Tamandua tetradactyla: one gene and its partners. The protein of the gene in region 3 binds, or shares a complex with, the protein of the main gene of each other region. Links are inferred from orthologs where the notes say so. Each region holds a gene or a part of one and is shown on either strand. Other genes may lie near its edges.

Evidence for each region.
Region 1: the proteins of MIOS (region 3) and CASTOR1 are in contact, whole or in part, in a cryo-EM structure (PDB 9LVK), measured with the Homo sapiens proteins. The link is inferred for Tamandua tetradactyla from reciprocal best matches to the Homo sapiens genes MIOS and CASTOR1. Residues at the interface, in NP_001357005.1 of Homo sapiens: Ala83, Asn84, Val109, Pro110, Lys111, His112, Ala113, Arg114, Asp134, Lys135, His136, Arg137, Asn184; in NP_001032755.1 of Homo sapiens: Val94, Ser116, Thr117, Tyr118, Gln119, Thr120, Asp121, Thr188, Tyr236, Leu255, Thr256, Ser257, Ser258, Ala295, Tyr296.
Region 2: the proteins of MIOS (region 3) and SEH1L are in contact, whole or in part, in a cryo-EM structure (PDB 7UHY), measured with the Homo sapiens proteins. The link is inferred for Tamandua tetradactyla from reciprocal best matches to the Homo sapiens genes MIOS and SEH1L. Residues at the interface, in NP_001357005.1 of Homo sapiens: Arg279, Arg316, Ser317, Phe353, Glu354, Arg355, Ile356, Ser357, Leu358, Ala359, Trp360, Pro362, Leu366, Met367, Trp368, Ala369, Cys370, Gly371, Arg372, Leu374, Tyr375, Glu376, Cys377, Thr378, Glu379, Glu380, Glu387, Asp389, Ile390, Ala391; in NP_112493.2 of Homo sapiens: Met1, Phe2, Val3, Ala4, Arg5, Ser6, Ile7, Ala9, His11, Lys12, Asp13, Leu14, Ile15, His16, Asp17, Val18, Phe20, Phe22, His23, Gly24, Arg25, Met27, Trp47, Ser173, Ser174, Ser175, Asn230, Leu231, Gly232, Arg233.

What each region holds. Positions count from the first base shown.
Region 1 is NC_135331.1:32,612,982-32,622,942, reverse strand, and holds CASTOR1 (cytosolic arginine sensor for mTORC1 subunit 1), read right to left. Parts: upstream 4,786-9,961; 5' UTR 4,664-4,785; coding exon 4,551-4,663; intron 3,915-4,550; coding exon 3,844-3,914; intron 2,782-3,843; exon of another isoform or gene 2,738-2,781; coding exon of another isoform or gene 2,719-2,737; coding exon 2,525-2,718; intron 2,445-2,524; coding exon 2,312-2,444; intron 2,054-2,311; coding exon 1,930-2,053; intron 1,481-1,929; coding exon 1,367-1,480; intron 1,204-1,366; coding exon 1,121-1,203; intron 1,033-1,120; coding exon 938-1,032; intron 802-937; coding exon 733-801; 3' UTR 211-732; downstream 1-210. Other genes in the region: TBC1D10A (TBC1 domain family member 10A), read right to left, coding at 7,642-8,058, 8,919-9,073, 9,193-9,382. UniProt on the Homo sapiens protein: Functions as an intracellular arginine sensor within the amino acid-sensing branch of the TORC1 signaling pathway. As a homodimer or a heterodimer with CASTOR2, binds and inhibits the GATOR subcomplex GATOR2 and thereby mTORC1.
Region 2 is NC_135344.1:76,894,071-76,904,675, forward strand, and holds the start of SEH1L (nucleoporin SEH1), read left to right. Parts: upstream 1-5,852; 5' UTR 5,853-5,981; coding exon 5,982-6,092; intron 6,093-8,221; coding exon 8,222-8,272; intron 8,273-10,145; coding exon 10,146-10,292; intron 10,293-10,605. UniProt on the Homo sapiens protein: Component of the Nup107-160 subcomplex of the nuclear pore complex (NPC). The Nup107-160 subcomplex is required for the assembly of a functional NPC.
Region 3 is NC_135327.1:117,442,980-117,453,867, forward strand, and holds the start of MIOS (GATOR2 complex protein MIOS), read right to left. Parts: upstream 4,156-10,888; 5' UTR 3,953-4,155; exon of another isoform or gene 3,843-3,952; intron 1-3,842. UniProt on the Homo sapiens protein: As a component of the GATOR2 complex, functions as an activator of the amino acid-sensing branch of the mTORC1 signaling pathway. The GATOR2 complex indirectly activates mTORC1 through the inhibition of the GATOR1 subcomplex.

The DNA of each region.
Region 1 (9,961 bases), on a different chromosome or scaffold from region 3:
AAGGCCAGGGGACCCCCAGGCAGGAGAGTCAAGGCATTGCCCACGTTCAGAACCTTCTGGGTTATTCCAGAAGCAACAAAGAATGAATGCAGAGCCTTCATTCTTTGGAGCCAGGCAGCGCTGCACGAGATTCTTCCATCCATCACCTCTCAAAGCTTCAGTGTGGGCAAGGCCCCTCCGACTGAATGAGGCTCCAAGGACCACACCCAGCCCAGTCACTACAAAGTCCTTTATTAACAAGTTGATAAAAAAAAAAAGGAGAGAGAGCTGTAAAAATACTTTTCTTAGAGGCCCTGGGATGGGGAGGCACTGTGAGAACTCGCCAGGTGAGAGGGAAGGCCACTCAGCCAGAGGCAGGACCGAGACTGGAGTCCCCATGCAAAAGTGCAGCTGACCCACTGGCCTGACCCAGGGAAGGCGTGGGCCTCAGGCAGGGACTGTGCAGACACCGAGTCCAGCCCAGGGAGTGGTGACGGGTTGGGAGCTTCCAGCTGGGAGCCCTGAGCGCTGCATTCCTCCGGGGTGGGTAAGGTCAGGGCAGCACCTGCCCACCCCACATGTGGGTGCACACAGGTGTCCGGTGCCTACACGCAGCTTACAGAGAGTGGAACGAGGGGACCCCTAGGTAGGAATGAGGGGCTCGTCCTAAAGCTTAAGGAAATAGCTTAGAGAAGCCCCCAGAAGTCTGGGGGTAAGGAAGGAGAGCAGGCCCTGCCCTGTTCCTGCAGGGGCTCAGGAGCCCAGGGCCTCCTGCCGTCGCTGGAGAACCTCGATGACACTGCTGATACCGTCCTCAGGTACCTGCAAGCAGGTGAGCAGGAGGGAGGGGTCACGGAGGGCTGACCCTGGCCAGAGCTGGTGCGAACTGCTGGCCCAGCTGATGGCTCCCCGTGTCTCCCCCCACCCTGCCCCCACCTCCCCAGCCCCCGGTGCTCACCAGGGCATGGTCAAAGTTGAAAGTGCTAATGTAATAGGCAGAGATGTCGGCTGCAGCCAGGGGACCCGCGATCTGGGCAACAATCCCGCATTCATCTGAGGGGTGCGGAGGGGCACACGTGAGTCACCTTGCTTTCCCCACAGGCCCTTCCCAACCCCCCAACATGCGTGGAGTGGCCCTCACCGAAACCCAGGGGCTGTCCACCGATGCGTACCATCCTCCAAAGCTCCCCGGAGGAGCTGGTCAGCAGGAGGTCGCTGGGGAACCTGGGGAGGGAAGGCAGGCAGGCAGTGGGCAGGGCACCCCACCCCAGCCCCTCCCAGCCCACTCGGAGCCCCTGAGGCAGGACAGCCTGGTGACCTCAGAGTGTAACGCCCTGCCCCCTCCCTCCCCGGGTCTGTGGCCTGCCCAAGGTTGGGGGTCACATACTTTTTCTGCGTCTCAGCATCCATGACGATGGAGATATAACCCTCAATGAGGGAGAAGGCAAAGAAGGGGATGGAGCTGGGTTCGGGGCCGCCAGAGGCTGCCTCCTTTGGGGCACTGGGGAGGGACAGGAGGCTCAGGGGCTCTGCTGGGCACACAGCCCACTCCCATCTCTTCCCAATCCCCAGCCCTGGGAAGGGGCTGGCTCTGGGTCCCCCTGAGCAGGCCCCTCTGGATCTGGGCTACTACGTTATCCTTTCCAACAGCCCTGACCTCCTCAAGGTGCAGGGAAAGGACAACGAGCCCTGCCTTTGCCAAAGACAAAGGACCCTGGGAACAGGGGGTGCCTAAGCAGTGCCCGGGCTAGGGGATGGTTCTGCTATTGCAGCAGGAGAGGCTCCCCTAAATGTCAGTGAGGGCACTCGGGTGTCCCTGGTTCCTGGAACACCGCTACATAGAATAGGGCATGGATTGACAGCACCGAGGGGTTGGGTGGAAGGTGGTGGCTCAGAGCACAGGAAATAGTGGTTGGAGAACCGAGGGGGGAAAGGCAGCCGGGGGCCCACCTGTGTGAGTAGAAGAGGACGTCAATGAGGGTAGTGGCGATGGCTGGCAGAGTCTCGGGATCCAGGGTGAGGACACAGAAACGGTTCTGCGGGCTCTGGATGGGATGCACCGTGGGGCTGGGCCCTGCTCAGGAGGGACCCAGCAGCTGTCAACAGATGTCTGTGGGCTGGGGCGCCCCCTGGTGGCCGGTCAGGGAGGAGCCGGGGCCTGGCTTGGAGTCGTGCTCTCCAGGCACACAGGCCTGGATTCCCCCAGCCTCAGTCTCCCCATCTGGTGAAGCGGACAACGCCTGCTGGTCTCCCCATGCCCACAGACCCACCTGCCCAAGGGAAGGGGCCCCAGCAGGGTTTGGGTGTCAGGGGGTGACCCTCAAGCCCTCACCATGCTGGGCACGGGGAAAGCCATTGCTGGAATCGTCCCTGGCTATGGGCACAGGCTCTCCGCCCACCTCGCGGTAAATGTTGAACTCCTGGGCCAGCGTGTGGATCACCATGGACAGGTCCTGCTCCCGCACCTGGGCCACGAGGAGACGGCACATCATGCAGGTCCCTGGGCACCACTGCCCACCCTACTGGGCACCTGTGGGAAACTCACCAGGATAAAGTCCGTCTGGTAAGTGGACAGCATTAGCACGGAGACATGGTGCTCGGCCAGCGGGGTGATGACCGAGCGGGCAATTTTGGTGACCCCAGCAGCCTGCACCGCCGTGGCTGCATTGCTGTGAGATGAGACGTTCAGCACCAGCCATGTGGCTTCAGCAACTTGTAGGAATTCAGAGGGGGGCAGCTCTGCAGGCAGGGGGCACATGCCCGGTCAGGGTCTCAGTTTCCCTGTCTGTGCCTTGGAGAGCCCTGCCAAGGTAAGGGCAGGTCTGGAGACTGGGGCTGCCCTCCCCACCCCCCAAGTTCTGCATTTGAGATCCACATATATGCTATTACTGAAAACCATTTCAGGTGCTGGCCCACAGTGGATTAGAACTTCCCAATTAAAACGAGAGCTCCAGATTCAGATGGGGCCTGGGTTCAAATCCTACGTCACCATTTACTTGCTGTGAGACCTGGAATTAAGATATTTAACCTCTCTGTGCCTCATTTTCCTTATCTGTGAAATGGGAGAATAGTGCCTACACACGAGAGGGTCCTGTAGGTTAACAGAGGCTTTATACCACCTGGCACCACCAGGGGTCGCCAGCAGGTCAGGCTAGCCCGGAAGAGACCTTGCCCCTCCGCAGACCCTGGCTTCCCTACATTACAGACAGGGAAACAAAGGCCTGAAGCCCAGCAGTGGGGGATAAGTCAAATTTAAGTTGGCTGGTCCCGGTGGACTCCAGGCCTGTGAGGTTGGGCCAGGCTGACAAGAGTGGGAACCAGACATCAGCTCCAGGGTGCTGGGAGGGACCAGGCTGGCATCCAGTCCAGAGCAGGGGCCAGGCTGGGGGTGGCTGCTAATCACCCAAGCACAGCCAAGAGGCTCCCAGGACCCGCCCTGGGAGCTGCCTGATCCTGCATTCCTTCCCCAACCCTGTCTCCTGGAGTTCCCAGACCAGCGGGGGAGGGGGTGACCTGTACCAGGGAGAAAAGTCCAGGGGGGAGGTTATAACAGCTGCAGGAACCGGATTCTTGCCCAGAACTGTAACTGAGGGCCTACTGCAGCTCCTGGGCTGAGGCTGCTAAATGCCCCTCACACACAGCCCAGATTATAAAGTCCAAAACATAACTACATCTACTTTACATAAGAGGAAACAGGCTCAGAGAGGGGAAGTGACTTGCTCAGGGCACACAGCTGGTGAGTGGTAAGGACTAATCTAAATCCAGATCCATCTGCTTTCAAGCCCCCAGCTCCTGTGAGAACCCTGCAGAGAGGAGAGTGCCAGGATCCCTTTCCTGGGCTTCCCCTCTCAGCCCAGTCCCCACCTTTGAAGCCCTCTTCGTCCACCATAAGCGTGTAATCCTCCGGGGTCTCTGTCAGGCTGAAGAACTTGCACCTGGTTGGGGGATAAGCAGGGGAGAGGGGAGGAAGGACGCCTTCAGCCTGGAGTGGCCAGCTCCTGGTGAACTTGGCTGTAATCGCCTAAAACAGAGCCCTCGCCGGGCGCCCCGCTCTGGCCTCAGTTTCCTTCCCGGGGCAATGGGATGTGAGCGCCATCTCTGAGATCGCACACTGTTTTATGCCTCCCGACCTCCTTCAGGACACCCTCCCCGGCCTCTTCACTCACTCCCCTCGCATTCATTCCAGAAGGAGAGGCTCCAGCCCACGGCAACAGCCCCTGGGGACGTCGGACCTTGGGCCCTGTAGGACAGTCCCCTGACCCAATATGAGGTTTCTGGAAGAAGCTCCCCGCAGTCGCCAAGAAGAGGTGTCCCCATCTGACCCCGAGGTTAAGCATTGCCCACCACAGGCTGTTTGCGTCTTGAATGGCCCTGGGAGGGGGGCCTCCTGGGGCCGGATAGGCGGCGGTCCCGGGGAGGGTAGGCCCAGGCCGGATAGCGGCCGGAGAGGGAGGGCTCCCACCACGCCTGCTCCCGCCCGCCCCGCGTCTGTCCTAAGGCTCCCGACCCTGGCCCGGAGCGACAGCAAAGCCCCTCCGCCCCGATCTGAGCCCCAGAACCCGGGCGCGCACCGGCTGCGGTGGGGCAGGAACAGCAGTTTGATGAGTGGATGAGTGTAGAGCCAAAGACCCGGACGGGCAAGGCTCAACACCCGCACCCGGTGCTCTAGGATGTGCAGCTCCATCACAGTCCACGCCGAGCAGACCCCGCTCCTAGCCAGACCCAGGCCGCTCCGGGGCAGGACGCCGGGGCGGGACTGCGGGGCGGGACGGTTTAAAGGAGCCGCTGCCCTGTAGCATCCACGCCGCCTGCGGAGCTTCGGACTCGCCCCGCCCCGCCCCTGACGGCCACGCCTCGCTCGACGGGCGCCCTATCCGGAGTGGTCACGCCCCCTCATACGCCAGCATCTTCCCCGGCTTCTTCCAGCCGGACGGACCCGGTCTTGGCTGGCTCCGCCCCTTTAGCTTTGGCTCCGGGCTCACTCCACCCCTCCAAACACCGCCCCTGCCCGCCGCGCCCCCTCTCCAGGCCCCGCCCTTTCCGCTGGACACCCGCCTCGCCGGGGACGGCAGCGCCTCAAAGGTTGATGTCTTTCGTGCCCCTGGAGCCTGAAAATGGGTTTTACGGTTGAACCCACTGAGGCAAACCGGGATTCGTCTGGGACCGGAGCGCTCTGCGACCCCCTGGGACATGGCGAAACAGCGATCTGCTGTGCAGCCGGAGCAATCCTGCGACTCCCTCCCTCCAAAAAATGTCTGCGTCTCCTTTTTTCCCACCTTCCTCTCATCGGTCGGCAGGATGTAGGATCGCCAGTACTGGCCGGGGCGGGGGGTGACACACTTCGTCCCATCAGCAAGGGTTGCTGAGGATCCTTAGTGATACATAGCCCTCCCTACTTTGTGAGTCTGGTGAACGCGCTGATAAGAAACCTAGACTGGTTGGGATATCCCTACAACTGTTCCTCTTATCCAGCTTTCAGAGCAGAATGTTCCCCAGCAGTGGTCGTAGAGAAGGGGAGGGCCCTGTGCAACAATCTACTGAGCAGGGGGTGGAAGGTGACCCAGGCCTAAGGGCCCTCACGACTACCGAAATCCAGAAGTGTTGGCCAACAATGCCCAAGGCTCAGACTTAAGGGGTTAGACTCACTGGGCACTCAGGACTGAGATCTGGACCCTACTGAGGCCTCCCAAAGCCTGTGCTCATCAGCAAAACTCAACTGGCCTGAGCACATCCCACCTGGCATCAGGACCAAAGGGGACCTTCAGATGCCACAGTCTGGGGCTTGTTAGGGTCAACCTGAACTCATTTCAACCTTAGGACTGGGTTCTGCTCATGCTTCCTCAGACCTAAGAAGACCCCAGAGCTGAGCAGGCATCAGCATACCTCGGCTGGCCTTGGGACAGGGCTGAGCATCCTCAGGCCTCATATCTGAGCAGTTTGAGAATCAGTCCTGAAGAAGCTTTGAACCAATTAGGTTAAAGCAGGCCTGTCTGAGGCTCAGCAGGCCTGAGCAGGCCTCCTGCCTTATCTGGAGCCACCATTATAGGCAGATAGAAGTAAAGCTAAGCTCTCTCTGCCCAGATTTTCCAGCACAGGCAGTTCCTGCGGAACGCTGTGTAGCCACCACATCCTGATCTGTGTCCCCTGGAGGACTGGGGGAGGAGGGGTGTTGCTCAAAGACTGGGAACCCCAATCTCATCAACGGCAGGTGCAGATGGGGTAGGAAACCACAGGGAAAATGGGTGGGAAGGAGGAAGTGGGTGGTCTGCCCAATAGACCTGTGTGACCCTTGACCTCCCTAAGCCTCAGTATCCCCAGCTGTAACAGGACAACATGTTCCACACCCAGGGCCCTCTGATGCCTGAAAGCTCACAGGGAGGCCCTACCCCTCCCTCTCCTGCTCCCTCCCTCCTTCCCCACCACTAGGCTCAGTCTGGTCAACAGCCAGGAACAGTCGCTATTGTTTGACTGGGAAAGCTGCTTCCTCAGCAGAAGGGAGACCTCTCCCAGGGACACTCTGTCCTTGCCCTCACCCTAGCCAGCTGTCAGGCTGTGACCGTAGAGTCTGCTTGGGCCAGTGGCAGAGATAGGTTACCTTGTGACCCTGGTCAAGAGAGGCAATGGAGGGGCTCTGGGGGCAAATCTGGCCCTGCTTCCCTCCTTGGGGGGAAGGTTCCTTTTCCACTCAGATCCTGCTTCCTAATCTGTAACATGGGGATAATACTAGCTTACCTGGAAAGGCTGCAGTGAGGATAAACCATTCAGGTCTGTGGCCCAACATGCCCAGCTTGGCACATGGTGGGTGCTCAGTCAACTAGAGGACCCAGACTTCTCAACAAGGACTCAGACTTCTCTCCTCAGTCCCCTGCCTCGATGGAGGCCTGGCCTGAGCACATGAGGACATTCAGGGACTCCAATCCTGACACCAGTGCCTGAGTGAGTACTCAGAACTTCACTGGAGCCTGAAATGATGCCCAGACTGGGCCTTGGAGAAGGACCCTGAAGCTGCCTCCTTAAGGAGACTCCTCTCTCTTGGTGATGGGAAAGGACCATGGCTGGGATACTGGCCTTGCTCTGCCCCAGCCTGGGTTCCAGCGCCTGTGCCCTTCTTCCATGGCAGCTGATGGGCATGGGCCAAGGAAATGGGATGGGGGAAATGGGGCCCAAGAACAGGGGCTAGCCCTAGACTTGGCAACCCCTGTGGCATAAGTGCCCCTCGGAGGGGCACCTGGTACTGGGCTGGAAGGGGGCTCTGTAGGTTGTGGACCGGAGATTCTGGGCACCAGGTGGTTATCCCCTCCTAGTTCCTAGCTGTACACCAGCACTCTACACAAGCCTATTTATTTCTGTACAAAACCATGTTCCTATTTTACACAAAGAGCACCCTACCCTTCAGCCTACCTTCTCCCCTCAAGAGGAGAGGGCTGAATAAGGCCCCATCCACTTAGCTCTCACTTACGTCTGCCCTGGCTGTTTCAGCCTGAGCTCTACTCTAGAGAAAATAAATAAGAAGGCTCAGGCAGAATATGTACTGGGCCAGCCAGATTCCAAGCGGCCCAGCGGCCAAGTGGTTGTGCCTCCAAGGGTGGGCAGTCCCTGGAGTGTCAGTCCATGAGCCATGTAGATGTGAGGAGACCCCACCCCGGAGGGCGGACTGCAGTGTTACAAGTAGGTGTCTTCACTCTCCTGGGACGTCAGGCTCTCCTGGGAGTGGTGGTGGGCCAAGTCCTGTGGGGGGCATGCATCCCCTGCAGCAGCTGCCACCTCGGTTTTACTTGGGGCCGGAGGCTTGTCCAGCTGCCCACTTGCCTTCGATTGCTTCTGCTGCTCCTTCTGGACCTGCTTGAGAGGCTTGGACTTGGTTTTGGAGCTGGGGAGGGGGGCATCCAGGGGCAGGCGAATGGATGGTGAGGGCTGCAGGGCTGGCCGGGGGCCCGGCTCTGCCTCCAGGATGGCCTTGGCACCATGCAGTCTGGGCAGGGAGTGGCTCTGCAGCTCACCACGTGTCTCCTGCCAGCGCCTCAGCTGGATGAGATGCTCCCGCTCAATCTGGCGCTCGGTCACAGGTAACTCCACCACCTGTGGGGCAGTGACAGGCAGGTTGTCACCAGGGAGCAAAATCTTCCCTTCTGCCTCCTTGCCTGGGCCTGGGCTCTCCCTCTGCATTCCTAGCCCCGGCCATGAAAGCTGACCCAGGCAGAATGGAGTCTGGTCCCTGTGGTTGTCACAAGTCCGAGAACTGAGTGCCAGGTGAACAGGTACTTAAGACCCACTGCCTCAGAAGAGAAAGCTGCCCAACCTGTGATTCCACTTGTCTGAATCCATGGGAGCCAGTAAGGTAAGTGATCAGCCAGAGCACATTTGCTCTTGGCCAAAATGTCCTCTTCACTGCTCACATGAGCCCCTACCTAGTCTCTAATTTCAGCTCTACTACCTCTAGCTGGATGACTTTGGGGGAATCACTTTGTGGTCCTGCCCCTAATAATGCCACAGCTCTCACCAGCTGTTGGGAACAGTGAGTGCAAAAGTACAAAGCTGCTTTTCTGTCTCTGCCCCACACAGCTGTTACCTATCTCACTGCAACCCCTATAGGACAAAACTCCACAAGGAAAAAAAAAAAAAAACAGCCAATGCCATGAATATGGTACCAGGGAGGAAGAGGGAAGATGACAGGCCACAGCTTCCTCTTCTACATTCCCAATTGATTCAGAATAACAAGACAACCACTTCCTTGGTCAGGAAGGTCCCACACCTAGGCTTCTGTGTGCCCCTCTCCTCATGCAGACAGAATGAGAATGTTAAGAAGGTCTACCTCCTGTCCTGGGGTTGCTAAGCACCATGCCCAGCATGGGTGACCTGCCCTCAGGGGCAGAGGGTTGCCATGCTCCCCAAAGGATCCATCCTCCCTCCCAGTTATAAGGGGAAGGTGGGGGCCGCACCTCCTGAACCAGGAAGGCCTCCTGCATGATCTTGGGGCTGAGGCTCCGCAGCTGCTCGATCGTCTCATACTGGCCCTGGCAGGCTTTTAGCTTCTCAGGAGAGCCCAGCGCATGCTTCAGCAGCACCAGCCCTACCCGGAAGATAATCTTGACTCCTGCAGGATGGGTGGGTGGATGAGCACAAGGGGTCTTCTCAGGGTTTCTTCAGAAACCAAGGCCCCCCACTGTGGCTTGGGCTGAGGACAGGCGTGCTTCCCCCAGCCCAGCCCAGTACCTTCACAAAAGAACATGTCCCAGACACGCAGTACAGAGCTCCAGGGTAGGGTGCGGGCAAAGGCACACATGAACCACTCCGTCATGTAGAGCAGTGGGTCAATCTTCTGCCGGCTGAGGTGCTTGTGGGCCACAGGAGATACTTTCTGCAGCAGTGAGAAAAGGATCTCCCCGTCTAGCTGGATGGCCTCCTGGAGGGACAAAGAGGCCACAGGGCCATGACTGTGGGCTCACTGCAGCCAGAGCAGAGACTTCTCATGCCTCTGGCCTTTACTACCTGCTGGCAGAGTACCCACCTCTTGCTGGATGCTGGGGATGCTAAGATGAGCAAACTAGATCTAGCTGCAACAGCACCACCACCACCTCTGCTCCCCATGGAAATGAGAAAGGCACACATGAATCACATGAGCAAAGAGACTTAGGGCAGGGGAAGAATGGGGCTAAGTGCCCAGAACAAGGCAGGACCAGGAATGCTACTGGGCAAGCATGTGCTGGAGGGTCCCTGCCAGAGGTCAAGGGAAGCTCCCTGAGGACTGAAGCGGAGGGAAAGGTGGAGTTGTCAGGGTAAGGAGATGGAGGAGGGGGAAAAGGAGGTTCCAGGCAAAGGAAACAGCCCATGCCAAGGCCTTGAGGCAGGAAGGAACTTGGTGTGCGGGAGGAACTGCAATCTTGCCTGTGTGGCCAGAGTGGCCGGAGGCAGAGATGGAGGAGAATGTGGAGCCGACGAAGCTGGAGATTCAGAGCCCTGACCCAGGAAGGCCTTGGGACTT
Region 2 (10,605 bases), on a different chromosome or scaffold from region 3:
TTCCTATAGTGCAGCCCAGGGGGTGGGCAGGGGACACCTGTCACAGTGGGGCCCAGGGAAACGGGGTCAGAAAACATGGCTAGCCTGGTCCTACTTTTGTTGGGAGTAATCATGTGGCTTCCGCCTGCACCCAGGAACCTGTGGCCAGCTAGACTGCAAAGGGGGTAGACCTCAGCCCCTCACTGTGGACTCTGGCGTGTGGGACCCAGAGCACATCCCCTGACCTACCGCTCTGCGGAGGCCTCTAGTCCTGGGCACTCCAAATGTATTGAGCCAATCAGCGTTGAATTTTAGAAACTAACAATATACAGATTTCATTTCAAAAGTAACAATATGCTGTCTGTTCTGTCCTAGAGCACCAAATATTAAATTTCAGTTGTCGCTCACACCCAGGAATCTGCACAGTTACAGGGCATTTGAAAGTTTGATGTAAAATGTTGTGATGCCCCCTACTGGCCACTCTCTAGACCTTGCAGATGGTTAGTTAGGCCTGCAGCACCAGCTCTGGCCCCTGGCGTGTTGACACATGCGAGCAGCAGAAAACAAAACAAAACAAAACTTTTCTAAACTTAAAGGGAATTGCATTTTGGCCAGTAAATTAAAAAAAAATTTTTTTTATACATTAAAAAAATTTACAGGAAACACAAACATTCCCAATACGTGATCATTCCATTCTACATATACAATCAGTAATTCACAATATCATCACATAGCTGCAGATTCATCATCATGATCATTTCTTAGAACATTTACATCAATTCAGAAAAAGAAACAAAAAGACAACAGAAAAATAAAACGCAAACAGAAAAAAAAAACCATACACACCATACCCCTTACCCCTCCCTTTCATTGATCACTAGCATTTCCAACTAAATTTATTTTAACATTTGTTCCCCCTATTATTTATTTTTATTCCATATGTTCTACTCATCTGTTGATAAGGTAGATAAAAGGAGCATCAGACACAAGGTTTTCACAATCACACAGTCACACTGTGAAAGCTACACCATTATACAATCATCCTCAAGAAACATGGCTACTGGAACACAGCTCTACATTTTCAGGCAGTTCTCTCCAGCCTCTCCACTACATCTTGAATAACAAGGTGATATCTACTTAATGCATAAGAATAACCTCCAGGATGACCTCTGGACTCTGTTTGGAATCTCTCAGCCATTGACACTGTCTCATTTCACTCTTCCCCCTTTTGCTCAAGAGGATTTCCTCAATCCCTTGATGCTGGGTCTCAGCTCATTCTAGGGTTTTTCTCAATCCCTTGATGCTGAGTCCGAGTTCATTCTCGGATTTCTGTCCCATGCTGCCAGGAAGGTCCACACCCCTGGGAGTCATGTCCCATGTAGACAGGGGGACGGTGGTGAGTTTGCTTGTTGTGTTTGGCCAGTAAATTTTATGCTTCCTAACTGGCTGCCGTAGACAATGTCACCGGACTAGCGTCCTCAGGGCTGGCCCCTGTCCTCTTGTGCACTCTCTGTGGTACAGGCAAATCCACACTACAGCTACAGAAAAGCAACAGCCAAAAGAGGGAAAACTTCCACTTGTGAAAACACATTTTCTAAATAAGTATGGAGCTAAATAGCAAACAAGAACTCAAATGACACACTTCAGAAATGAATAGCAAAGATTGCTATTCATTTCCTCAGAGGAAAATATACAAGTTTGATATTCCTAGGAAATAAGATTGAAAGCAAAACAAAGTAGGAAAACTATAAATATCTGAAGAAAGTACTAGTACCAATAAAGGTAAAATGGACATGAATGAAATAGGAAAGGAAAAACTAGGAGACTTGGTCAGTAGCATCCAACTTATCAATACTAATATAACAAGCAAACCTCTGGGAAAAAAATGAAGAAGTGCAAATAAAAAACACAGTGAGATGTCATGATGCAACCACCAGAATGACTAAAATGAAAAGATGACAAATATCAAATGTTGCTGAGACTGTGAAGACATAGGAGCGATCACACACTGCTAGGATGCTGTAAAGTGGTTCAACCACTCTGGAAAAATTGTTGCCAGTATCTACTAAATATGAATATGTGCATCCTCGATAATCTGGCAATTACTGTCCTAGGCATTATGTCCAAGAAAACAGCACATTTACGCTCACCATAAGACGGGTACCAGAATGTTCACAGCAACACTATTCTTAACAGATGTAGACTGGAACTTAATCTTATGCTCATCAGTAAGTTGATGGGTGAACATTTGCAAAATAGGGATGAATCTCCTAAATACAGAGTGGAAAAAGCCAGGGAAAAAAAGAGCATATACTGTACAATTTCATTTACATAAAGGATAAAACTAGGTGAAACTAATCTATGCTGCTAGAAACCAGGATAGAAGTTATCTTTGGTTCTCTTTGACCAGAAGGAAGCACAAGGAGAGCTTCTGGGTTCATTCTGTGGGAAGCTCTGTGAGCTGTAAACTTATAACATGGGCACTTTTTGGAAAGTATATAATACCTTCAATAAAAAGTTTAAAACATTAAGAAAAAAAAGGAAGACAGAAGCAAAGTAAACAACAAAAAAGCATTACATCAGACATGGAGGGGATTTTTAAAAAATTATAAGAAATTATCATGTATAACTTGATGGTGTATAAATGATTTTTTAAAGAAAAATAAAGATGATCAATATTGACTTGAGAAAAGGTAGAAAATCTGAAGACCAATAACAAAATACATTTGAACTTTAGTTAAAATCAATAACCTCCTTAACAGCAAGGCATGACGCTTATATAATTCTATGGATATAATTTCAAAATGTTCACAGAATAGTAATTCCCATGTCATTTGAACTGTTCCAGAGGAGAGAAAATATGAAAATTTCCTAATCTCTTGTGCCTGGTTAAAATAATACAGAAACCATAAAAGGACAAGAACAGCACGCATGCAAATGTATATGCAAAATATATACCAAAAATATTTTTAAAATATCGAAGCAAAAATTCTAAATATTAGTGAATCACTAGCAGTGTATTAAAACAATAATGGTTTAGCATTCAGAAATTTATTAATGTATTGATAAGAAAAAAGAGATAAACACTAATACCTAATGAAGATTCCTAGCAAGCTTGAAATAGAAATCCAACCTTTTGAAAAGTTATGCCACATTAGAAGCAGTTTCATTAACATCAGGAACAAGAGAAGCATGATTACAACTATTATTCAACCAGACGTTGCTACTGGAATGGAGGAGAAAGAGAGAAATCTTTTCCCCCCTTTCTGTGGTGACATCTCAGCTGCAGCTGTGGTGGCAATGGGTCAGCCTGGCTATCCTGCTTCCTGTGGAAGCAGTGGAATCCTAAGAGTTGCAGGAGCAGCTGCAGAGGATCTAGGATCCTCAGCTGCCCAGAGCTCGTGGGCACCGGCTCCTTCAGCTGTTGCCACTGTTAGATGCCTGCCGCATTAGCTGGACAACTCTGCTGCTGGCTTCCTAGGACAGTGATGAAGATTCCAACATCAGTAATCTCAGAGGTTCAGTGACGGCAGGCCCTGGGTAAAACTATTTTCCCTCTGTTCCAGCCCTAAGAAGTTTCCTGCAGTTACTACACTCTGGATAACCTCACCTGTTCCCTTTTTGCCTACTTAGCCCTTCCAATACATTTGTAACCATTTTCCTGTGTTAAATTTCCTGTTTGAAATAGCTAGAGTACATATCGTTTTCTTGATTGGACAGTGAGGGATACAAAATATCTATGTCATTACTTGCAGCTAATATACTTATTTATCTAAATACCCAAAAGAATAAATGTAGAAGCTAAGAGAACTAAGACTTCTATAAGGGAACAAACACAAAATGAACATATGAGATTTAACAGGTTCCTTATAAGCAAGATAGGAAGACAGAGCCCAGACACATGGCCAGGAAAATTATAAAGTTTTAATAGAGCAAATGAGAAACATGCAAAACTATATTAAGAAAAACTTCAGAACTCTAATGAAGCACACGTCTACCTGAATGAATAAATGAATCATGCCTACAGTGATCTTTACATGCTTGCCCATTAGCAAAGGAATGTTTAAATAAACCACAATTCAGCCTTAATTTGGAATGCATAGGTAAAAGACTGAAAGAATGAATTAGACCCACGTGGAAAGTTCTCCAAGATTTATTGGATACCTTTTTTTTTTACATGGGCAGGTACCAGGTCCTCGGGCATGGCAGGTGAGCATTCTTGCCTGCGGAACTACAGTGGCCCGCCCTATTGGATACTTTTTAAAAAGCAAAAATAGACAAAGTATCAATTTAAAAAAATCCAATGACATTTCAACATTTCTGTGTACTAGTTATCTCATATGCTAGTACTAGGTAGCTATATGCAAAACCACAGAAAAAGTGTGCAAGAGTACACAGTAATAATGGTTATCCTATGCAAGGGAGGATAGATCCTGGGGTGAAAAGGAACTTTAATTTTTACTCTATATACACGTGTGGTTTAACAAATGTCTTACAATAAACATTTAGTCTTATACTATGTAACTCTAAAAAAAGTCTCATAAAGAAAATTCCAGAATGTCTAGATCATCTCCCTGCCTCCCTTTGCAGCTTTCAGTGAAATCCATCAGGGAACAGCTGGGACTAAGTGTTTTGAAAACTTTCTCTCCTGCTGATCTCATCAAGCCTCGAATTCTTGTCATCCCTGGCCATAATCCAAAATACAAGCCCCTTCCGCGGACTCGTTTTCGATTTTTTTTCCCCTGGACTTTCTCTCCCTTGACCCAATCTTCCAATGTTTCCTTTCTTAATTAATGTTACCGTATTCCCTCTGCAATGCCTCTCCCTGAATGAAAAAATCCCCTAAATCTTTAAACTCTTTGTAAAAATGTTCCTCCACTTGTTGGTTCAAGGCTTCCTCTTCTTATGGGGCGTTTTGCTCATTTCCCTTGTTTTTCCGTTGAGGACTCTGGCTCCAGGGTCGAAAGTCCTCCAATTCACTTTGGATCCTGCAAACTGCGTAAGTAATTTGTTTCCACCCCACGAACCCGAATTTCTAAAGATCTCATCTTCTCCTTCTTGGGTCTTACTACCGCCCCCAACCTGCTCTACCCGAGGTTTTAAATTCAAATACACACACACACACACACGTTCTGCTACCGCCCCCAACTTGCACTACCCGAGGTTTTAAATTTAAACACACACACACGTTCTGCACGGGCAGACACCGGGAATCGAACCCGGGTCTCCGGTATAGTAAATTCAAGTATCTCTGCCTACTTCCTACTTCCGACCCTTTCCGCCTTCACGCTCCCTCTCACTACACCTGCTCCTCGACCCTCTTAACCTTCCTGCTTCACGTCTCAGCTGTTAAGGCGGACGCCTCGGCCCGCCTCTTCCAGCACCTCTGCACCCCGTCCTGCTCCAGCAAAGCTTCACTGGGACCGAATCTCCGGGGAATCTTCCTAGCACGTTTCTGGGAGGAAACGCCGAAATGTGGACGGGCATTGACTCAGGGTGGAGGACTATGCACTGTATTTTATCTTTCTCATCTTCCTTAATTTCCAGATCTTCAACAAGGAGCTCTTATTATGTAAAACAAAATAAGACGCGTCCCTGGAAGTCGCAGGAACCTCCGACCACGACTTCTACAGGTCTGATTCAGGGACGCAGACCCGGAAGCTGTAGCAGCGCACGCAAGGCATGCTGGGGCCGAGGGGCGTGCCTAGCCCAGAGCGCAGACGCGGAAGTTCCGGCGGAGTTCCCCGGGCACGCTGGGGCCGAAGGGCGGGGTGTGGCCCAGGCGAAGACGCAGCGACGCCCTACGGCGTTCGCGGGGCATGCCGGGGTGAGGGGCGGGGCGCGGTGGCGCGCAGCAGCACGCGCACTTTGCGCGCGTCTGCGGCGGGAGCGCGCGAGGCGTCGGGACCTCGGCGGGTGGCGCGTCCGCACGCGCTAATGCGCGGGGTCTTTCCTGGGGGGCGCATAGGGCCAGCGCGGTAGGCGCGGGCCCGGCGGGCGCGATGTTCGTGGCTCGCAGCATCGCGGCGGATCACAAAGATCTCATCCATGATGTGTCTTTCGACTTCCACGGGCGGCGGATGGCGACCTGCTCCAGCGACCAGAGCGTCAAGGTGCGCACGGAGGCGATGCCCGAGGAGGGGGCGCTGGGAGCGGGCGTGAGCCCCGGGGTCCGAGCAGGGAGACGTTGGGGCGGCGACTTGTCGCGTGGAGGGCTTCCCGACTCCCTGGCGGGCCTCCGCGCTCGGGACTTGGAGCCCAGGGGAGGCGGATAGACCCTCCCTGGCCTGCGGCCGCCATCTGCCCAACATAGGGCTCCACGGTCGGTCGCATTGCGGGGTCCCGGCTGCCCCGTGGGGCGCGCTCCCTGTGCGCCTGCGCGGATCGGCTGGCTGAGTGGGCGGGGCTGGCGGATTGGGCGGGGCATCCTGGCCACGTGGGTGCTCCCGCCTCCTCCCGGCAGTCCTCCGGCCTCTGAGCCTCGCGCCAGTGTGTAGACAGAGTTACTTGCTAGCGTTAGGGTCGAGTACCTCATAGCGGCGTGTCAGTCTGAGGAGTACCTGGCAGTAGGTGGCCTAATCCACCGAATTTGTTCAATGAGAGGGCTGGGCGAGGGACTTGGAGGAAAGTATTTTCCATGGTTCGAGTTTTAGCTGCGTAATCCTCACTTGGGCAGACAGTTCCCTATTTGTGGTGGGAAAAGGAACTTCATATTTTTCGCGGTGAAAGAAAAATTCGATGTAGTTCTGTACTCTGTAGGAATTGGCATGTTTGTAAAGCACTATTCTGACTTTTTATAATATGCGGATCGTATTTGGGATTTAGGGAATCTGATAGGAGTTATCGGGGTGTGATAGTAAATCTGAAGAAGGAAGCTGGAGTGTGGATTATTTATATTCTCCACTATTCCAAAGGCAGGGTTTTCCTTCTTGCTTTTCACACTGAAGTTTGTTACCAGTGGTCTGAAAGATAAAATTATAGCAATTTTACTTTTTTGAAAAAAGTACCGCCAAATCCATCCAATTACAGCTTTCGAAAGGTTCACAACCATTTTTAAAGATTGTTAATGGATTAACTATGTAGTAGACCTTTTGGGGAAACATTTCTCATATATAATCGTCATAAATTGACCTACATGAATAATCTGCAGATATTAGTTAAATAATGAATTTGTAGTCTATATGACAACTTGGGATCAGTTTTACTGGTTTATAAAGAGATTGCATAAGAATGATGTTTTTCCTTGAAAGAGTTTTTAGGTGGGAATTATATTGAATTGCAGGTGTATATATTTCGGTAGTGTTTCATTACTTTGTGACCTTATGTCCATTTTTTCCAGTGTACTTTTTCTTACCGAAGGGCTCTATTTATTTATCTACACACACACAACACACATTTGTATTAAGTTGTGCAAGTAATATACTTTTTCTTTTTAGGAGGAGAAATTATTTATAGGCTTACTGGTCACTTATCACTCGTTGAGATTTAGTGATTTCTTGGCCTTTTCCTATAATGTTTTTAATAACTGTCATGGTAGTAAATATAGGTAAATGTGTAACTTTTTCATGCAAAAGTATATTTTCCCCCATTATTGCATGATCATTATTCCCAATGGCTCAATTAATGTCTAACTAAATAGGCTGTTATTTTTTCATTATTCACTTATTACCTGATCCTTCAGTAGATCTTTCAGTGGGTAGGTTTTCTTTCTCAGAAAGAATGTTGCAATGAAAATCTACATTAACTTAGCTTTTAAATATTTTGGGTAATTTCCTTAGGCTAGTTCTGGATAAAAATTAGTGACTGTTTTGGGCTTTTGAAAAGAGTTGGCAAATCATCTTTTTTAGGTTGTACCATTTTACACTGCCAGTAAGATTACTGATTTAAAAGCTTCATAGACTGTTGGGCAAAATCATTTTTAATAGGTTAAAGTGGCCCCTTGTTATTGAAATCTATATATTTTTTGTTGTTTGTTAAGTCCAGTGTTCTGCTGTAATATTTATTGTGTATGATGTACATTGTCTGCATTGCATACTAGAGCTTGAGCTGTCTGAGGCTCAGTGCATAGCCCAGTTCCTGACACAGCCGAGGTTCTCAGTAAATATCTCATTGAATGAATGAATGCTTGCATACACGTATTCTTTTGTGAATTTTTTTTTCACATCCTTTTCCTGTGTACTGGTTTCTAGTCTTAATTTGTAGGAATTTTTCTATAAACTATCTGCATTTTATTTTCTTACAGGTCTGGGATAAAAGTGAAAGTGGAGATTGGCATTGTACTGCTAGCTGGAAGGTTAGTATTTATTTCTATGGTGATTGAGGAAAATTGAAATGTTTACTATTTGATAGTATCAATGACTCGCTGTTCTTCCTAGAGAGAATTTATAATTCATTTCCTGAAAAGATGCTATGCATTTTTTTACCTGTTAAAGTAACACAAATGCATTTCATAAAATTGAACAGTAAGAAATTTATAATTCTGTAACATTTCAGTATAGTTTTTCTTAGCACTTCAGCATATTCCTTTGTTCCCTTTTTTCCTGTACACACACATATTTTATTAGAGCATTTGTAGGTGTACAGAGAAATCATGCAGAAAATACAGAGTTCCTTCATACTCTCCTCACACACATGTTTCCCTGTGTTAACACTTTTCCTTAGTGTGTGGATTTCTGTATGGTAACTTATGTACAACGTAAAATTTCCATATTTCTCCCTTTTCAAATGTACAATTCAGTGGTGTTAATTACATTGCCAATTCAGTGGACTTGGCAGCCTTGTCAAAAATAATTTGGTCAAAGATGTGAGGTTCTATTTCTAAACTTTCAATTTGATTTCATTGGTCAATATCCTTGAGCCAGTACGATGCTGTTTTGACCACTGTAGCTTTGTATTGTTTTAAAGTCAGAAAGTGTGAGTCCTCCAACTCGTTCTTTTTCAGGGTGGCATGGGCCATATGGGGCCCCTTATCCTTCCAAGTAAATTTGATAATTGGCCTTTCCACTTCTGCAAAGTAGGCTGTTAGAATTTTGATTGAAATTGTGTTGAATTTGTAAATCATTTTGGGTGGAATTGACCCCTTAATGATATTTAGTTTTCTAGTTCATGAACACAGAATGTCCTTCCACTTAAGTGGAAGTGATTTAGCATTGTTTTGTAGTTTTTTTGTGTGTGTACAAGTTTTTTACATCCTTCGTTAAATTTATTTCTAAATAATTTATTTTAGTTGGTATTGCAACTGGCATTTTTTTCTTGATTTCCTCCTCAGATTGCTCATTACTGACATTTCAAAACACTACTGATTTTTTGTGCTGATTTCCTACCCTGTGATTTTGCTGAATTTATTAGCCCTAGTAGCTTTGATCTAGATTGTTCAGGACTTTTTATATATAGGATCATGCCATCTGCAAATAGTGAAAGTTTTACTTCTTTCTTTCCAATTTGGATGTTTGTTATTTCTTTTTCTTGCCTAAGTGCACTGGCTAGAACTTCCAGTACTGTGGTGACAGTGGGCATCTTTGTCCAGTGTCAGCCCTGCTTCACAGCTGTTCAGTTCCCCCTTTTCATGTAGCTTTTTTGCCTCTGGTAACTTCTGTGTTAGGGATCCCAACCCACAGAGTCAGATGGAGTTAATATTCAAAAATACCTGGTTTTTTCATTTAGGTGTACCAGCAAGTATGGAACAGGCTGAGAGTGCTCACAGCTTGCTGGTAGTTTTCTGTGGGCTGCTCTGGCTTCTCGGGGGCTGCTTCTTACATGTGCCCACATGCTGGTGGCTAGGGCCGCACCTTTGGACCCTCTGGTCTTGGGTCCTGGTGCCTGAATGTGCTTGGGACTCTAAGTCACTGTTGCAACTCGAAGCCTCCAACTTTCGGCACCAGACGTAGTCCACTTTATCAAGTTGGATCTTTCTTTATTAGCGAAATGTTAGGAGAACTTGACTCAAGAAACCCCAGAATTCTAAATATAGAATATCTTCTAAAGGTTAAACATGCTAGAATTTAAGTTTTTAACTGTTAAATTAAATAGCTTGCTCTGATCGAAGCCAGAAAAGTCTGTATTCTGTTTCCTCAGGTAAAACCTGTATGAAATATGTGTGAACTATAAGGTTTTGTAAAGGGAAAGAAAAGCCCTATTGTATTGAATATCTTATTTTCATTCCTCAGACACATAGTGGATCTGTGTGGCGTGTGACGTGGGCCCACCCTGAGTTTGGACAGGTTTTAGCTTCCTGTTCCTTTGATCGAACAGCGGCTGTCTGGGAAGAAATAGTAGGAGAATCGAATGACAAACTGCGAGGACAGAGTCACTGGGTAAGACATTCGCTTGTGGGTGGTGGGGCAGATGCTGCAGCCATGGCTGTCAGTCCTTGCAATATATCTTGGATGCTTGGTGACATGTCACTATTCCCCGTTATATTTACCATTTCCGTCTTTGTCTTCCCATTTTTCTCCTACTTGCCTGCTTATTTTTGTGTTGGGCCTGAAGGGGTCCTCAGTGGCGCCTGTGGAGTTGTTTCCTATGACTCATGGTGACTCCAGAGCAGTTGCTTGGTTTTAGAGTGCCCTCTAAAGTCCTTTAAAAGGAGTTAATTTTGTTTTCTTATAATATTTTCCTTTATCTGCA
Region 3 (10,888 bases):
GTGTTTCTATACACTAATAATGAACAATCTGAAGAGGAAATTAAGAAAAATTTCCATTTACAAAAGCAACTAGATGAATCAAATATCTAGGATACAAATTAACTAAGGACATAAAGGGCTTTTACACGGAAAATTAAAAAACACTGCTGTAAGAAATCAAATAGAAGGATATTCCATGTTCATGGACTGGAAGAATATTATTAAAATGTCAATTCTACCAAAGCATATACAAATTCAACTCAATTCCAGTTAAAATTCTAACAGCCTTCTTTGCAAAAAAGGAAAAGCCAGTGATTATATTATATGGAAGGGTATGAGATCCCAAACAGCTGAAACCATCCTGGAAAAGAACATATTTGGAGGACTCACATTTCCCGACTTTAAAACTCATTACAAAGCTACCATAATCAAAATGGTGTGGTGTTGGCACAAGGACAGACATATAGAGTAACAGAATTGAGGGTTCAGAAAAATAAACTCTCTCATCTATGGACAACTGATTTTTGAAATGGGCCCTAAGTCTACCTCATGGCCAAAGAATAGTCTCTTCCATAAATGGTGCTGAGGAAACTGGATATCCATATACAAAAGAATGAAGGTGGACCCCTACCTCATGCCATATACAAAGATTAACCTAAAATGGATCAGAGACTTAAATAAAAGAACCAAAACTATAAAACTACTAGAGAAAAACAGGGAAACATTGTGTTAGGGAATGGCTTTTTAGATATTATACCCAAAACACAAGCAATAAGGGAAAAAAATAGATAAACGGTACTCCATCAAAATTTAAAACTTTTGTGCATGAAAGGAGTTTATCATGGAAATAGAAAGATAATTTGCATAATGGTAAAAAAATGTGGAAATAACTAATAATGATTCAAGATCTAGAATATATAAAGAAATCCTACAACACAAAAATGAGAAGACAAACAGCCCAATTTAAAAACAGGCAAAAGATTTGAACATTTCTTCAAAGATATATAAATAGTCAATAAATAGATGAAAAGATGCTTATTATCATTAGCCATTAGGGAAATGCAAATCAAAACCACAAACTGCCTATTTCCCATCCCCTAGAATGGCTACTATTAAAAAAAAACAACAACAGAAAAGAAGTGTTGGAGAGAATGTGGAGAAACAGGAAGAGTCATTCATTGTTGGTAGGAATGTAAAATAATGCAGCCGCTGTGGAAAATAGTCTGGTGGATCCTCAGAAAGTTAAGTTTAGAAATACCATATGATTCAGCAATTCCACTTCTAGGTATATACCCCAAGAATTGAATGCAGGTACTCTAAGATATCTTTTCACACTGATGTTCAAAGCAGCATTATTCACAATTGCCAAAAGATGGAAGCAACACAAGTGTCCATCAGCAGATGAATGATTAAACAAAATATGGTATGTTTATCCATTATAGTGGAACATTAGATAGTTGTAAAAAGGAATGAAATTCTGGTTCATGGTATAACAAGGACGAACCTTGAACACGTCATGTCGAGTGAAATAAGCTAGAAACAGATGTACAAATAGTATATGATTTAGCTTAAATGAAATACCTAGAATAAGCAAATTTATGGAATTTTTAAACTACAGTGCAGGTTACCAGGGTCGGGGTGGGAGCTGGGAATGGGGAAGTCATGCTTAATCAGTAAAGCGTTTCTGGATGGGAGTATGGAAAAATTTTGGTAATGTTTGGTCATGATGGTAGTACAATATTGTGAATGTATTTAACATCACTAAATTATACATTTTGAACGTGGTTATAAGGGAAAATTTTGGGTTGTAATATATTCCCCGAATAAAAAATTAAAAAAAGCCATAAAACCATATAACACAAACAGTGAACACTAATGTGAACACTAAGGTGAACTATAGATTGTGGTAAATAGTATAATTACAATATTGTTTCATCAACTGTAACAAAGGTGCCACATTAATGTAAAATGTTAATAGAGAAAACTGTGCATGAGGGGGGTTAAATGGAGACTCTCGGTATGATTTTTCTGTTAACCTACAACTTCTCCAATTAAAAAAAAAAAGTTTAAAAAAATGCGGTATGAAAACTTGATGCCATGGAAAAATCTCCTCTTACAAAACACAAACAGAAAGTGTCACTGTAATTTTTAAAACTATTTAATTTACATGACTCTCAATGGAGAATCACCAGAATTTCTTCTGACGTTATATACTTACGATATTACCATCAACCAAATTTGATAATAGTAACCTGTACAAAACAGAACTTGAGAGGGAGAGATTGGCACACCCTCGGTTCATGTAGGAATAGGGTGAAGACCAGCATATTTTGGCTCTTACACATCAGAGACAGAATCAGCTATATAATGTGCCAAGCCCAGTAAAAATGAAAATGCAGGGACCCCTTGCTGGAAGACTATTAAGTATTTCAACATGCCAAAAGCAGAGCATTAAATCAAGCACGATTCCCTTCTAAGGGTGGAACCCTATGAGGCTGTCCAGGTTGCGCACCACGAAGCTGACATGGTATAAAGAAGTGCTTCTATAATGACCCTCTTAACACAGGCATTTCTTCACAATCCAACACACAACATAGATGAATCTTCATTCATGAATGAAGACAGCTAGGAATTCAGTGTAGAACAAAGAAAATTGAACCTGTAATGAGAAGACCTCTAGTTACTCTGAAACTAAAACTTTGACAAGACCCCTAAATTCCAAGACACGAACTGATAGAATCAACCTTTCCTACTTACATTTTTAAGTAGTCACAACAATGAAATGAGCTCTTCACATCACACAGATGTTATCACAGAAGTTAATGTGTTCAAATTTTAAAGACATTGAAAACTTGGAGGTTGAGGAAGTGGAGTTCACCTAAAATAGGGCTTATATTTTTATACTTTCACCTTCAAAGTTTAACGAGTGTTCACTTCCCATCAACAGTTTCTGAGCAAAAGAAAGCCATGCCGATTCCATGGTCATCATCAGAACATCTACTACAGCATTGTGCAACTAAAACAGTGAGAGTCGTATAATTTAAAACTTGCTAGCAGCCACATCAAATAAAGCAAAAATAGATACAATTCATTTAAAACATATATTTTATTTAACCCAATATATAAAACATATTATCCTTTCAGCATTTAATCAACATAAACATTATTGAGAATTTCTATTTTTTTTGTACCAAGACTTGGAAATCCAATGTGTATTTTACACTGCAAACTCTCTCAGCCCCACGTGGCTAATTGGACAGTGACGATCTATAATACTAAGCGAACAAAGTTAGCCAATCAACCTTTCACATCCTTTTTTTCTTCTTTCTTTCTTACCACGGCATATTACAACAGCAAGTTTCAAATTCCCACCCCCACCAGCTTCATGGATCTGCACTATACAAATTCAAATTTTCCCTTAAAATGTAATTATACAAAAGGCCTGCAACTGCAGTCATTTGTTAAGAAATGTAGCAATGCCCATGGCATACGCGACTGGCTTTACTCGTCATCTTAAGAAATTTTAATTACTCGTATTTGAAGAGATCAGAGCTAAATGCCCGGGTGGTAGGCCCTTTAAGAAGTATTTAATAGTGTACACTGGAGCAGGGCTTGTTAATATTCCGGGTAAACCAACACTCTGAGGAGACTCCCACGCTCCAGACACCTGGCTCAGTCTCTAGTCAAAGGCGGCGACGCGGTTCTGAACAAACCCGCCGAGGCGCAGGCTGAAGTGCAGCCCGCCGCGCCCCCGAGGAGGTCCCCGCGCGCCCTCTGGCCGCTCGCAGCCCCCGGCCCCCTGAGGCCCAGCGTGGTTATCCCGCAGAGGGGAACGCAAATCCCCGGAGCTCAAGCGCCCGCACCGTTCAAATGGGTTTATCCAAGCCCGTCACGGCGGCCGGAGCTCCCGAGCCTTCGCCCCCGGCCTCACCGCTGGAAGCGCGGACAAGTGGCCCGGGCCGCACTCACTGACCTGAGGTGGCAGCGGGGCCGCTGCACAGCCACTTCCGGGCTGGTCGCCGCCCCTCCCGCCGCGGGAGCCGGCACGCGGGCAAGATGGCGGCGGCGCGGCTAGTAACCGGGGCCACACGGCCAGGGTTCACGAGACCAAAGCCGCATCTCGAGGCCGCGCCAACCACGCCTGGGCCTCGGAAGGTGGGTTCTCGACGCACGAGTCCCGCCCCACCCTCGCCCAGGGAATCGCCCCGCCCTTAGGCGGGGCGGAGCCGCTGCCTGGGAGGCCCCGCCTTCTGGCCGAGCGCCCCTGCCTTCCCTGCAGGCCCTGTCCCGCCCGTAGAGCCCGCCGGTGGAAACTGGGAGTCTTGGACTTGGATTGCACCCCAGAGCCCCTTTTTATCGATTTCAAAATCAACTCACACACTTAAGCACGTTCAACAAATTTTAGTTTTTATTAGAAATTTATTGTGGGCGATGTAGTTGAAAGTCCAAGGTATTTGATTCAACACTTGGTCAACTCGTTCATTCATTCCACTAGCGTGTCTTGGGCGTCTGTTCTGTACTGTTAGGAAATGCTAGGGGTACTGGAGTGAACAAAAATAGACATGGTCCCTGCAGAAAACTGACTATTTGAGTGGCGCCTGAATAGGGCTGGCACAATGCTGCACCGGAAGAGCGCCCCTCAGTGTTGGGGATTCAGGAAAGCTTCCTCGAGGCACCACTAGGCAAAGAAATGAAGGGTAAATATGGGATCAGCCAGGAAAGGACGAGGGCAGAGGGAGATGGAGAGAAGAGTTTTTTAGCAGGAGGAAGAGCAAGTGCTGAGCCTGAAGATATAGCAATTGAGAAGCAGGACAGAATGTTCTGAGGTTAGAGTGAGTAGCGGAAGTGGTGAAATGGAGAAAAATTAAGATGCTGCATCAGGAAGATGTTTGGAAACTAGTTTAGGGAGTTTAGATGGACTTTTTCCTGAGGGCAGTGGTGGAGCTATTAAAGGTTTTAAACCAAGCAAGTATGATTTAATCAGTTTGGATGGGAATGGGGTTATAGCCGACAAGGAGAGGGAAAGGATAAGTATGCAAATGAGAAATGATGGTGGCCCAAACTAGCTGGGATGAAGAGAATTAAATATTTAGAAAGCAGAATGAACAAAGGCTTGATGACTGAGTAACTGAGGGAAAAAAAGGAGTCCTGAATGGTGACCAGGTTCTGGTTAACAGATACTGGTGCATCCATAGGTGTTACAAGACCAACACAGAGGTTTTCTTCAGATGTCTACAATTTTTACCTGTTTGTTCATACTTAACAGTGGATGGCCTTTGGCTCATCTTGGTGATTGATGTAAACACATAATGAACTTAGTTCTGATGATCTTCAAGGCAGATGGTTTTGGTGAGAAATGATGAATTAGGGGAGAGTATTGCCTGTGGAGGTCTGAGGTTCCTTTTCACTGCTGCCATTGGAGGAGCGAGGGCAGAAGAAGGTGCTGTATTGAAGGGAAATATCATAGGAGTTATCACCTCCAACACTTTCTTGCCAATCCTCTCAATAGTTTGGCCCTGGCCCCAAACCTCCACACAATACAAGACTCAGATCAATACAAGACTCCTCCTTACCCACTCCTCCTACATACATGCCTGAGCAAAACCTTTACCGTCAAACTCAGATGACTTTGCCTTCTACTTCACAAATAAAATTGACGATTAGATAGGAATTCCCACAGCCCCATACTGCTTCCTCTTTCCCTCCTCCAACATCTTCATTCACTCCCATTCTTACCTTCTTCTAGCTGACCGAGGAAGAGTAGGAACCCCATATATTTCTGCTCTTCTGAGACCTTTAGCCATCAATTTTCTCCTCTTCTATGTGTCTTCAATCTCTTCATTTCTACTGGTTCTTTCCCTTTAAAATATAAACATTTTCAAGTCACTCCCATTTTTCTCCTCAAAGGAGATCAGACTTCTTCTCTTTAATGCCACTTCCTATCTCTCTTGAACTCACTCTCCTCAAGCTTTCATTTACACTGCTCCACAAAACTGCCCTTGTCAAAGTCACCAATGTCTTCCACACTATCAATTCCATTGGCCAAGGTTTCACCCTTGTAGGTTTTGACACTCTTGACCACTTCTCTCTTGAAATATTTTCTACACTTACTTCTCTGTCACCATTCTCCTTTGTTCTCCTTCTGTCCCTATGACTACTATTTCTTGAGCATGGCAAGTGTACTCTTGTCTCAGGGCTTCTGCACTAGCTGCTCCCTCTACTGGAATGCTCTTCCACTAGAAATCTGCATGACTCACACTCTCACTTCATTTAAATCTGTTTAGTTGTCACTGATTATATATAAGTTAACTCCTCTGTCCCTCTCCCTTAATTTTCTGAAAAGCATTCATCACAATTTCACATACATATTCACCTTTTTACTTGCATTTACCTGTCATCTCCTTCTGGAATATATACTCTACATCCCCAGTTTCCATTCTTTTCCTTTACCTCCAGGTTTAGGCAGGGCACTTGGTGACCCAGCTAGAAGCTACTTTTCTTGGCCTCCCATCTGGCTAAACATGACTCTGTCAAAAAGTTGTGAACAATAAGTTGTGAGAATTTCTGTATCATATCCCTTAAAAAGGAAGCTGTTTACCATCTACTTCCTTTTCTTTTTCCTGCTGTCTAGGAAATGGCAGAACAAAACAACAAAACATGAACCAAAATGAGAACTATTTAATGAGTGAAAGGTCTCAGATTACATTGGTTACCTTTATAAACACATATATTGTAATAGATATCAGAGTTGCTGTAGTTAAGCCCCAGTGTTTTATTTATTTATTTATTTATTAAACTGTTGAGTTCTTAAGATGTTGTCCTTTTTAAGCCCCTTCATTTATTTTATGGAGTAGGGGGGGTTGTTGTAGTTTTAAACCAGTAAAGGATAGTAGTTGAAGAACTGCAGTTACTGGGACGTTCTGTGAAGTCTGTGGTTGACTAATCCCAGCTACCTTTACTTCCACATACGCAAAATCAGTCTAAACCTGAGAGCAAGTTTTTTTCTTAGGTGGAGTCTGAGTAGGCATCAAACCAAAATCAAAGCCCTGTAAATATGTTACATGGTAATTGTGGTAGATGAAATTATGTACCCCAGTAAAACACATATTCTTAATCTTAATCTGTGTTCCTAAGGGTGTTCCACTGTAAAAAGGAACTTTTGAGGATATTATTATTAAATTGTGGCCAAATTGAATTGGGTTGGGGTGGGGGTTGTCCTTAATCCATATTATTGGAAGCTTATAAAAAGAGGAAATTCAGATGCAGTTAGTCAGAGAAAGCCAAAGGAAGAAGCCAGAAGTCAGCAGAAACCAGAAGAACAGATGCAGTAAGAGAGAGATTGCCCTGTGACTGAAGCAGAGATGGAAGCTGAGGAAATCTAGTGATTGTGGCAAACCAGCCCCAGAACGCTATAGACTCTGGGAAGAAATCATGACCTTGCTGACATCTCGATTTTGGACTTCTAGCCTGAAAAACTAATAAAATAAATAATAATAAATACTTGTTTAAGCCAGCCCATTGACTTATTTTTAATAGCAGTCCTGGGACGCTAAGGCAGTAATATTTTTACAAACATCGAGGACGAGAAATTCTGAGATACCATAATAGTGATCTTCAAAAGTTTTCTAGCATATTCCCAAATAAATTTTGTAAATAATTGCACTTTTTCTTACATTTTTAGTATTCCGTCTAATATTTGTCATAATATGTTTACATATGAAATTTTTAATATTTAAATTAATTAATTAAATTAAATTAATAGTTATACCACTCTTTAAATGTATCAGGAATAATTTAAGTACCATTGTATTTGTTGATTTCCACTATCATTCATTTTAAAAATGTATGAGTAAGCTATTCTTTGATTATCAGAAAGTTTACATTATTCAGTTTTTTTCTTCTTGAACTTGTATTTTCATTCTATTTTCTCCCACTGAATTATTTTTGTTTGTTTAACAAATAATTATATACCATCTGCCATGTGCCAGATAATTTTATAGTGTAAGACTTATTTAACACTCTCTCAGGTTGGGTTTCCTGGGTACCAGGCTAAAAGATGGAGATTGGGATGTAGAATGCTTATTAGGGAGTGTGCTTGGGATCAACATTTTATGGAAGGGAAGGAGAAGAAGCAGGATTGGGCAGAGGGAGAAGGTGAGCTGTGATGAAATTCCAGCAAAGGCCTTATTCTAGTTTCCTAGTTGCTGGAATGCAATATATCAGAAAAAGCATGGCTTTTAAAAAGGAGAATTTAAGAAGTTTCTATTTTACAGTTCTAAGGCTGAGAAAATGTCCCAGTTAAAACAAGTCTATGGAAATGTCCAATCAAAGGTATCCAGGGAAAGATACCTTGGTTCAAGAGGGCCAATGAAGTTCAGGGTCTCTCTCTCATCCGAGAAGGCACATGGTGAACACAGTCATGGTTTCTCTCTCAGCTGGAAGGGCACATGGCAAGCAAGGCATCATCTGCTAGCTTTCTCTGCTGGCTTCCTGTTTCATGAAGCTCCCTGGGAGACGTTTTCCTTCTTCATCTCCAAATGTCACAGGCTTGTGGGCTCTCGTGGCTATGTCATTCTTCTCTGGCTCTCTCTGAATCTCCCATTCTCCAAAACGTTTCCTCTTTTATAGGATTCCAATAAACCAATCAAGACCCACCCAAATGGGTGGAGACATGTTGTCACCTAATCGAGCTTAACAACCACTCTTGACTAAATCACATCATCCAGGGAGATGATCTGATTATAGTTTCAAACATCCAGTGTTGAATAGGGATTATTCTACCTTTATGAAATGGGATTTTGATTAAAACATGGCTTTTCTATGGGGCATACATCCTTTTAAACCAGCACAGGCCTCAACCAATCCACTGGAAGCTCTGGAACTGGACTGACTTCAGAGTTGTCCCGAGTTGGGGCAATAAACCCAGGCCTTTATATTACCTCATTGATGTAGATGTGCTATTGGATTTGAGCTGCCCTTTGAAGAAGGTATGACTTTGAATGAGGCAGCATTCCCCAAAGAGAATTGACAGCTGAGGGCTATCTGCTGGCAGCATTCCCGGCAGCTGAAGGAATACATTATTTATTACTGAAGAGGAATCTGGGATGTGTATTACATAGTCCAACACATCGTCATCACAACTTCATGAGGAATATACTATTATTTCCACATTTTACAGATGAAAAACGGAGACACAGAAAGAGTAAGTAAGTTCTCTGAGATTCTCCTACTTTTAGATGGTGGAGCTTGGATATGAACCCAGGCAATCTTACTCCAGAGTCTGTGATTTTAACCACTGGATCATGCACTAGCAAATGGAACAGACATTTAATATCATTGTATGTAGTCACTAAAAATAATTTTTAAAACACATGGCAAACTTTTCCTTTAAAGGGTCAAATTGAAAATATTTTCTGTTTTGCAGGCTATACCTCCTCTATCACATCTACTCACCTCTGCTATTGTAGTACAAAAGCAGCCATTAAACAATACATAAAGAAATAGGCATGGCAGTGTTCCAATAAAATTTTATATTCATTTGCTCTTGTAGAAAAATATTTTAAAATAGAGGAAATGCCCATTTTTTATTGTTACAGGAATAGAATAGTTCTAAATGGAATAAACATAATAAACTTAATTTTTTAAAAAAGACTAGAGGGACCAAATGTTTAATAGTTGATATCTCTGTGTGGTAGGTTTAAAAGTGAATATTATTTTCTTCATTACAGTTTTCTGTATTGTCTAAAATAAAGATGTTAAACTCTTATAATGAAAACAATAACAACAATAAGAATGAATGTTATTTTAAAGAACGTAGTTGGAGAGATTAGGATCCTAAATTCCATAATGATAGACACATCATAAGCCTATACTCACAGAGTTTAGGTAGAAATAATAAGGCTCAAGGTGCTTTATTAGCTAGGCAGTTTTAGGATGATAACTGCAGCACTGGTGATGCTAACATTTCCTGCTTTGCTCACTGCAGGGTAACTTATAGCATTTTGGAACTGAAGCACTTAAGCAGCAGCCATCAATTTTTTAATGTCAAGTATGCAACGTTAATCTGAGTTAAACCATAGTCATAGCCATTTTACTATGTGGTCTCCTTCCCTCATTGGACAGGAATTGAGTAAATCACATCTGGGATTTTGAAATAAATGATGTGGCAAAATTCTGCCAATCTCTCTGGTCCCATAACCATTGCCCTAATTTAGGTCTTAATTACTACTCACCCAGACAGTGGTCTCTAAACAGGCCTCTGGTTCCCTATTCTTAACTAGTACTCTAATCATCTCCTCTGTGTGACTAGATTGATCACACAGATCTAAAGCACAGCTCAAGCCATCTGCCTTACCTGTAGACCAACATCCAAACTCCTCAGCCCAGAGTTAAACATTCAATATTGTAAGTCTTTTTTTTTTTTTTATGAACAACAAACAAACATACAAGCATTCTTGACATGGTTACAATCAATGGGTCACAATATCATCACATAGTTGTGTATTCATCGATGTATTAGAGTTCTCTAGAGAAACAGAATCAACAGGGAACACTCGCAAATATAAAATTTATAAAAGTGTCTCATGTGACCACAGGAACGCAGAGTCCGAAATCTGCAGGGCAGGCTGTGAAGCCAACAATTCCGATGGAGGGTCTGGATGAACTTGACAGGAGAGGCTCGCCAGCCGAAGCAGGAAGAGAGCCTGTCTCTTCTGAATCCTCCATAAAAGGCTTCCAGTGATTAGATTGAGCATCACTCATCGCAGAAGACACTCTCCTTTGGCTAATTACAAATGGAATCAGCTGTGGATGCAGCTCATGTGATCATGATCTAATTCTATGAAATGTCCTCATTGCAACAGACAGGCCAGCACTTGCCCAACCAGACAAACAGGTACCACCACTTGGC